Linked DNA regions of Chlamydomonas reinhardtii. The protein of the gene in region 2 binds, or shares a complex with, the protein of the main gene of each other region. Links are inferred from orthologs where the notes say so. Each region holds a gene or a part of one and is shown on either strand. Other genes may lie near its edges. The genes, in order: CHLRE_04g231026v5 and CHLRE_11g479750v5.

The links.
Region 1: the proteins of CHLRE_11g479750v5 (region 2) and CHLRE_04g231026v5 are in contact, whole or in part, in an NMR structure (PDB 2HUG), measured with the Arabidopsis thaliana proteins. The link is inferred for Chlamydomonas reinhardtii from reciprocal best matches to the Arabidopsis thaliana genes CPSRP54 and CAO. Residues at the interface, in NP_196014.1 of Arabidopsis thaliana: Pro532, Gly533, Thr534, Ala535, Arg536, Arg537, Arg539, Lys540, Ala541, Asp542, Ser543; in NP_566101.1 of Arabidopsis thaliana: Glu268, Tyr269, Ala270, Glu271, Val272, Lys283, Val289, Trp291, Glu298, Trp299, Val300, Lys301, His304, Val305, Ala306, Val309.

Annotation. Positions count from the first base shown.
Region 1 is NC_057007.1:3,927,123-3,931,393, reverse strand, and holds the start of CHLRE_04g231026v5 (uncharacterized protein), read right to left. Parts: upstream 2,869-4,271; 5' UTR 2,688-2,868; coding exon 2,421-2,687; intron 2,138-2,420; coding exon 2,118-2,137; intron 1,260-2,117; coding exon 1,187-1,259; intron 559-1,186; coding exon 479-558; intron 167-478; coding exon 75-166; intron 1-74. Other genes in the region: CHLRE_04g230928v5 (uncharacterized protein), read left to right, coding at 3,057-3,155, 3,246-3,374, 3,721-3,878.
Region 2 is NC_057014.1:3,241,513-3,245,809, forward strand, and holds the start of CHLRE_11g479750v5 (uncharacterized protein), read left to right. Parts: upstream 1-1,233; 5' UTR 1,234-1,396; coding exon 1,397-1,516; intron 1,517-2,254; coding exon 2,255-2,378; intron 2,379-3,236; coding exon 3,237-3,286; intron 3,287-3,797; coding exon 3,798-3,887; intron 3,888-4,297.

The DNA.
Region 1 (4,271 bases), on a different chromosome or scaffold from region 2:
CCCCCACCTCCCCTCCCCCTCCCACCTCCCCCTCCCCCGCTCCCCATTTCCCTCCCCCACTTCCCCCCGCTCACCCTCCTTGTCCTGCAGGTCCAGCTCCGCCCCCGCCTCCACCAGCAGCCGTGTGCACTCGGCGGAGCCCAGCGCGGCGGCGAAGTGGAGCGCGCTGCAGACAGGGAGTGGGTGGGCAGGTAGGTAGGTAGGTAGGTTTGCGCGGTGGGAGGCGGGTGTTTGGGTCGTGCCGCCGTGCCAACACGCCACGCCCCAGGCACGACCCTGGTGCCCCCCCCCCCACCTGCCCCTTGCCCTCTCTCCTTAGTGAGCTCTCACGTCGCCCTCCTCCCGTTTATCCTCACTCCCCCTCTTCCCCATTCTTCGCCCTCCTCGCCCCACCAGGAAGCGACCCCGCCCGACATGTCACGAAACACACACGCCACGCCCGTGTAGCCCCCCTTTGCCCTCTCACCCCCGCCCCCACCTGCGCCTGTTCTCGTCCACCACGTGCGCCAGCAGCTCGCGGCCGCCGCCCAGCATCTTGATCATGGCATCCACGTCAGCCTGGGGGGTGAGGGGTAGGGTGGGTGAGGTGGGGTGGGGTGGGGTGGGTAACGAATGCAGGGATGGTGGCATTACGCCCGCACGCCCGCATTCCGCCGATCACCTCGACTCAACGCCGCAGCACGACGCTATGGCCGCTGGTTCCTGGCCCCTGGCCCCTGGCCGCTGGTTCCTGGCCCCTGGCCCCTGGCCGCTGGTTCCTGGCCCCTGGCCCCTGGCCGCTGGTTCCTGGCCCCTGGCCCCTGATCCCTGGCCAGCCGCACCTGCCTATGACCACCGCCTGCAGCAGCGCCCCCTGCCCCGCGGCCACATCTTGCCTTAAAGGTGGGGTGGCTCTCCCGTCGCCCACCTCACTCCCCCACCCCGCCCCCGCGGTTTGACCCCAGCGGTGCCCGCATCTGCGCCGTCTCCATGTCAGGCCCCTCCGCTATGGCCACAGTATCAACAAGCGCAAGCTGTCTCACTGTCAGGACCCCAACACCACGGCGTGCGCCCTGAGCCTGACGTCAACCCCTCCTTCGCCTCCCAGCTCCTCCCAGCTCTTGCTTCTCCCACGCCCTCCCATCCATGCCCTGTTACGCCCCTCCCCACAGCAGCTCCGCCCTCCGCTCCTCCTGCTGCCTCCCACCTTGCGTGCCGCCGCCCACCACTTCTCCTCGAAGTCGCGCACCAGGTCCTCGGACAGGTCCGCAGCCACCTCCCTGCACAGCGGCGGCGGGAGGGTGAGGGAGGAGGGAGGGAGGGAGGGAGCGTGCAAGGGGGCGTGTGCAAGGGGGCGTGTGAAAGGGGGCGCGTGTTGGCAGGGAGTGCGCCCAGGCAGTGCGCCGAGGGAGTGCTGATTGCAGGCTACGTGCGGCGCGGCGGGAGGAGACCGCCCAGTCTGTTTCCCCGCCCCCCTGCTGGCCGCCCCGGACTGGGAGCCGCGGGTTGTGCTGACGGTGTCTAGTACGGCAACGGGTGGGTACCCGCCAGACCTCCCCGCCGAGGGCCCCATGCCCCATGCAACCGGGCCCCGGCCCCGAGCCCAACACCCGCGCCGGCAGCGGCGCTGGGCTGGGCTGGGCTGCTGCTGCCCATGGCTGCGTGCTGCTGCGCCTGAAGGCGGTGGCGTGTGGGGTGTGGTGCCAGGCCACAGGACTGGGTGACCCAGCACCGCACACGGCCCTACGCAAGCACGCGCCCATACGGTACGCCTCTGTCAGGGTGCGCCAGACCCGCCGCCAGACACCCCGCCCGGCCGCCGTGCGGCGCCGTGCCGGGGTGCTGTGAGGCGTGCAGCCGTGCTGGATCCAATGCAACCGCCTGGGGCGTGTGCGCCGGAAGTGCCTGCCCCCTTCAACCCCGGGGCATCCCGGCTGCTGACCAGTCCACCCTCGCCCAGCCAACAGCCATGGACACTCCTGTCCCGTCAGCCCCAACCCCAACCCCAACCCCAACCCCAACCCCAACCCCAACCCCAACCCCAGCCCCAGCCCCAGCCCCAGCCCCAGCCCCAGCCCTGGCCCTGGCCGCCGTCCCAGCCCTGGCCGCCGTCCCCGGCCTCGCTCCTGCCAGCTCACCAGGTGCTGTCAGATCCGTCCTGTGGAAGAATTGGAATGGGACGGGAAGAGCGGGCGGGAGGGGGAGCGTAAGCTGCGTGCAGGCTCCTGGGCACATGACAGCATCCCGGGCGCAGGAAGTGCGGTGAAGAGTGCAGCAGCTAGGCGCTACCCCGGCGCGGTAGAGGGCAGGGGTTGACGGGCAGCGAGCAAGGATGGTTGGGACGGGGGGTGGGGTACGGATGGCATGGTCGACGCGGGAGATGTCTCGCGACACCTCGTGAAGCATAAGGTGGGTCGCGCTGCACCCGGCCCAGCTCTCACCTTCCATTTCACTAGGTACTCGACGCGCGGGGGATCCGACTCCACCACGACGCGCGCGCCTGCAAGCTCCTCGACCTCCTTGTAGCCCTCCGCATACACAAGCGCTGGAGGCCCCGCACGAGCAGGAGCTAGGAGCTGTTGGTGTACTCTCGATGCCACAGGAGCAGCAGCGGTCAGCTGTCGCGCGCGAGGCGCGACACTCGGCACGACCGGCAAAGGGTTCCGGCCGGTGCAGGCCGGAATCGAAGCCAGCTTTCGCATAAGCATTTTTGTCTTATTGTAAAAGGTCAATAAGAAAAGGCGGATCTAGCAATGGAGTAGCGGCGTTCAGGGGCCCCTGTCCTTGCCGGGAGAGTCCCCTGCAGGTTCCGTAGGAGCTGAGACTTATTTAATCAAAGCACTCCTTTGGGTCTACTGCTGGAGGGCGGCAGGACGAGGGCCTTCAGCGAAGATTTTTGCAATGAGGGCCTTGTCAGTTTTTTTCAGGCTCGCGACCCCCTGTCGATGCCCTAATATCATAGGTTTGTACTAGATAGATGATAGATAAACTCCAGAATGCGGTCAAGATGGCTCCTCGCACTCTTCGCGAGCTTGAAACTGGCAGTTTTTGTAGCTAGTCAACACGACCACACGCCGATGGTATTTGAGCCATCGCACGTTGCTCTTCAGCTTGCAGTATCCAATTTCACCGACATTATAGGGAAGCAGACGGCCACCCAGCAATGTCTCGTTGAGGTACGCACGCCAGGGACAGCTTCAGTGGCCCCAAGCATTTGTACACCTAGCGGCGGATAGCGGTAACATAGATTTGCGTGCCTACTGCAGTTCTACGCGTCGTGGTGCCCTGCGTGTAAACACTTTGCTCCTACTTTCGAGAAGATAGCAAAGTTCCTGAGCACTCAGAAGCTTGACGGAGGAAAACTCTTCATCGCGCGTGTGGACTGCGCAACTGAGGTGCGGGCGGGGTTGTGCAACTGTCGATCGATCGCTTGTGCAAGCGCGCGCACAAAGGATCTTATTTGTTGTCTTCTAGTACACGAGTGGTTGCGTATGGGAGTCGTGGGTGGCGCAGGTGAAGCCAGCAGGGGCGCTGCCGGCCTCCAAGCGAAACCGTGGGTACCCATTCCTTCACACCCGCGCCTTCCTATTGATCTAGGCCATTTGCCTGTTTACCTAACGCGCCCCCGGACTCAAAGGAGTTAGTGGGGCCACATGGACTCGAACCCATGTAAATGCTCATGCTCATGCGCCTTCCCACAACGTTCCCCTCTCCCCTCGTCCCCCTCGCCATGCTCCCCAGGTGGACCTGTGCAGCGCATTTGAGATCGGCGCCTACCCCTCGCTGCTGCTGGGGCCTGGCCCCGCCTTCGTCGCCAAGCAGCGCAAGTCGCTGGCCAACTTCGAGGGGCCGCGCGAGCTGGCGCCCATCCTCACCTGGGTGGGAGCTGCCTTCAACACGTGGGTGGCGTGTGGTGGTGGCAGCGATGGGGTGGTGGTGAAGGGGGGGTGGTGAAGGGGCCGTTGGAGGGGGCGTCGGAGGGGCGGTGTGGCGCTGGAGGCGGCGGTGGAGGGGGCAGTGGACACGGGTGACGGCGTGTGTATGCGCGGGTATGTGAGTAGGCGGATATGTGCGTGTGGAGCAGGCGGATAGGTGGGTGGGGAAGGCAATGCGCAATCCTGGCTGCCCGGCGGGTGGAGGGTGTCATGTACATGTGCAGCACAGCAAGAGGAGCGGTGGGTGCCGTCGCACGGCAGCCAGGCCGGCAGCGGCGAACCGACTGACCGAGCCGCCTTGCCGCCTTGCCGCCTTGCCGCCTCACCGACCGACCGGCCGACCGACCGACCGCATTC
Region 2 (4,297 bases):
GCCGAGCGAGTACCGCATCATATACATGCGCATGTAGGCGTGTCAGCGCCTGTCATCATGCCGTGTGCACTGTGCAGTAACAAATGCTGAGTGGATCAGGAATACCGTGTTGCAGCCCACACCAATTCTGGTAACGCAGAGTGTGCCTGTGTGGTATTGCCCGGACCAGGGAACCCCTGGCCCGGACGCCCACTAGGTGTAGCAATGCTCGCGACTACTCACGGCAGCAAGCCCTCTTGCAACCAATGCATACTGCGTCACTGTGCGGCATGGGTGCGATGGCTACATCCCCGCCGGGTGGTCATCACACCCGAAAGTACATCGATGATGTACAAGCATCCTGCACAGGCTGCACTTGCACATCCTGTGGATCCCTCGTCACATTCTGGGACATGTACCAGTATACCACGACCTGCCAGCTGCGCCAGCGGTCAGCAGGAAGCAGCAATCACTGCAACACACCTAACAAGGCTCACGACTTTGACTTGTCCGCCACCTTGTATGGCCTATTGCCGCCGGACCGTCAACCGCAGCCCTGCATGCCTCCGTATGCCTCCGCCTGCCCCAAGAACCCTACCTCTGCCTTCCGTAGCCTGGGTGGCGCAGGACCGCGTGCCGTGTTGCCGCCTACCTGGTGCCGTACATCCCTCCGGCAGATGGCGGCGATTGCGCCTGTGCCCTGACCCTGACCCTTAAGTCTCCTTGAACGGCAAGGAGGCTTGCCGGAGGTGCGCCTATCCAGGGTAGGTTCTGCCCATGACCCATTCATTCATCCCCTATCTGACAAACAATATGTTGCAAACGTTACGAACAATGTTTACGGGGCATGAGGGCACAGCGACCTTGACAAAGACAGCATGTACATCACGGCAGCGCTTGCCCTCGCAGCATAGGACCTTCATAGGCTGCAAGCCACATAGGCTGCAAGCCACATGCCTTACTCCTGAGCTGGAAATTTTGTGGGCTGCTCCCTGGGAGCTGCCTCGCAAGGATTCACCTCGTGGGTTCACCGCGAGCGGAGGCGCGAGCCTAGGGACGTGTATGGTTTGGCACGACGCTGACCTGAGCTCGCGCGACTTGCTATACGATTTCAAGAAAGCATTACCTATGCTAAAATATTCAACCACCTCCCCCTTCAGGGCGGGAATCTGGGTCTGCCATCGGTGCCGCGCAGCTTGCAGAACTGCAAATCCATCGTCTTCAGAGAATCATTTTAACAAAGCTTTGCTTTTAGTGTAGCATACATATTAAGCTGTGGGGCTACGCGCGGCGCGGGAAGATATTGCTCCTGATTCCACCATCGCTAGATTTAACTTCTTACGTCATCAAAGAAATACTCTGGGCTGGTAATAAAACAAGTAGATCTGCAAACACTTGACTGGTCGCGCTGGTCACCATGCAAACTGCGCTTCGCGCCCGCTCTGCCGCTCCTCGCGGTGCCTGCAACCGGACTGCGGTTGCACCTGTTGCATCTGCTCACCTTCGTGGTCAGTATGCGCCCTTCAGCGGTGCCCAGGTGAGACGGCCTCCCGAGCCTTCTGGACCTCGGGGAGGTACATGGGAACCCTGGATACTGGGTACTGGGACTGGGATTGTGGGAACCACCGGGCGGCCGTGGACACGTGCAAGGCTCGAAGAGAATCTGGGGGGGGGGGTTGACGGAAGGGGGCAATAGGGTTGTTGGCACACCGGGAAGGGTGGTGTGCAGCCTGGTCTGCGGTCTGATGACGGCGCCTAGCAGGGGCCAGGCCTGTGTCCGCTAGACATCCCATTAATGGCCTCGCAGCCTAAGCGTGGGTGCAGAGCAAGGTTTGCGTGTTGCAGCGCTCCGCTGGTTTGTTCGAATAGTTTTGGTTGCGTGGAATGCGCGGGGATTCCGGATTCGTGTTCGTGCCTACCGCGGGTCGCCGGAGTCGGCCCCACGCGCCCATATGTCGGTAAAGTGGATCCTCGCGCTAGAACCCAGGTCGAGGGCGCTCCCATGCACGCCCATCTATTGCCCAGCAGTGCCTGGCAAGTAGCAGGCCTGTTCATGCCGTGTCCGCCCGCCCAGACCAGCGCGCCCACCCTCTCCCCTCTCTCGCTTTCGCGCAGCACGCACCTCCATTCAATGCTCACGTCCGTGCTCACCGCTGCTCTCGCTGCCCTCGCCAACTCCGCTGACCTCGCTGCCCCCGCTGCCCCCGCTGCCCCCGCTGCTACCCCTATCCCTCTCCATCTCCCCGCTCCCCGCTCGGCCGCCACCGCCTGCCAGGCGCGCCCCGCTCTTGGTCGCCAGCGGCAGCAGCAGCAGCAGCAGCGCCGCGGCGCGCTCGTCATCCGCTCGGCCATGTTCGACAGCCTGAGCCGCAGCATTGAGAAGGCGCAGCGCCTGATCGGTGAGAGGGAGCGAGAGGGTGGGGGAGAGGGGTTGGGAGAGGCGGTGGGAGGGAGCGGGCGGAGAGGGGAGGGAGAGGGAGGGTGAGGGAGGGAGAGGGAGGGAGAGGGAGGGAGCATGGGGCGCAGCACACGAAGGCCCGGAGCAGGGAGGGGCAAGGCGACATGAAAGCTGTGTTGTATTTGGGGGAGAGGCAAGGGGTGGAAGAGGGGGGCTCTGGGGTGTCAGGTGGATCGGACGGACAAGCTGGTAGGCAGGTCGGCTCCAGGCTGTGAGCCATGGGACACATGGGCAAGGAGCTGGGCAAGGAGCTGGGCAAGGAGCATAGGATGGTGGATAGGATGGTGGATAGGATGGTGGCTAGGATAGTGGATAGGATGGTGGATAGGATGGTGGATAGGAGGGACGATAGGAGGAACGAGCTGGGGGCTGTGAGTCACGGCGGCGGATGGGAAGGGCGACCGCAGGGCGCCGCCGGGGACTCCACAGGTGCCGTGTGCACAGGGCCACAGGCTGGGGGCGCTCCACGGGACACATGGTCAAGGCGCACACCGTACCCAGGCGCAAAGCGACATGTGTGCGGTGTTACCATACCGTGTCCCCACGGCTCGCGCCCCAGCCATGCCTCCGCCGCGCCTCTGGCGCTGCTGCGTCCTCTGCGTCGACTTACTAGCCAGCTTCTCGCTCGCGCTCGTACACACACACACACACACACACACTTTCGTTTCGTTATTTAACACACACACACACACACACACACACACACACACACACACACACACACACACACAGCGCACGTGCATGGGCGGACGCGCGCTCATGTCGTGTCCCTAAAACATGCCTGCACACTGGCGCGCAGGCAAGAGTGGCACTCTGACGGCGGAGAACATGAAGGAGCCGCTCAAGGAGGTGAGGGGTGGGAGGGGAGGGGTGGGGGTGGGGGTGTGTGGGGAAGTGCGTGTATCGTGGTTTGACCTGGGGTTTGGATTTGGGATTTAGCCTGCCAAGGAGGTGAGGGGTGGGTGAAGTGTTGTGTAAGCGAGTGCGTGTAGGGTTAGTGTCGTAGTCGTCGCCTGCATCCTATGTGGGGTGGAGTTAGTCTTGGCCAAGCTCAACCACGGGGCTAAGGGTTTGAGCCCAAGAACGCTTGGATGGAAATCGCGGCACGTATGGCCTTTGTGTGGAAGCGGCGGCCAGGATGGCACGGGCGACAGGAGGAGGAGGTGGAAAGGAAAGCGCGGCACGAGGGCAAGGGCGGTTGCCGGTGTGCGTAGGGATCCCAGGCGTGGTCGTGGCGCGGGGACGGTGGAAGAGGCGGCGCGGGTGACAGCTGCCCGTGTATTGTGCCAATACACGTGCCCTGCCACACATCATCGCTTCTTTTTTAGCCTTGCAACCCCCTCTCTCCCCCATCCTGCAGGTCCGTCGCGCTCTGCTGGAGGCTGACGTGTCGCTGCCTGTGGTGCGCCGGTTCATCAAGAAGGTGGAGGAGCGGGCGCTGGGAACTAAGGTGCGTGAGGAGCGTGTCAGTGAGTGCGCGAGGAGAGGGGCGCGCGATGGGAACAAAATGGAAGAGCGTGTGCGAGAGGCGTGGGGAATAGGAGCAGGGGTGGAGATGGTGGAGGGTAAACTGTCCACTGCAAGACGGCCTGGGAAACAGGGGGGTGGGTAGGGCCAGGACAGAGGTCGGGCATAGAGCAGCGTGTGTGCATGGCGCGCGTGTCAAGAAGGTACCACGGACTGACTACGCCACATAGCGAAGGCTCCGGACACTCCCACTGCTCCTTGTCATCCTCGCGGGCTCTGCGTCCCGGCTTCTGTGATGCGGATACCCATTCTGTGTTACGCCAATGCGCCGTTCCTCTCCATCTTCATCTCTGCCCCTCCCTGTCTGTCCCTCTCTCGCCGTCAACACTTGTG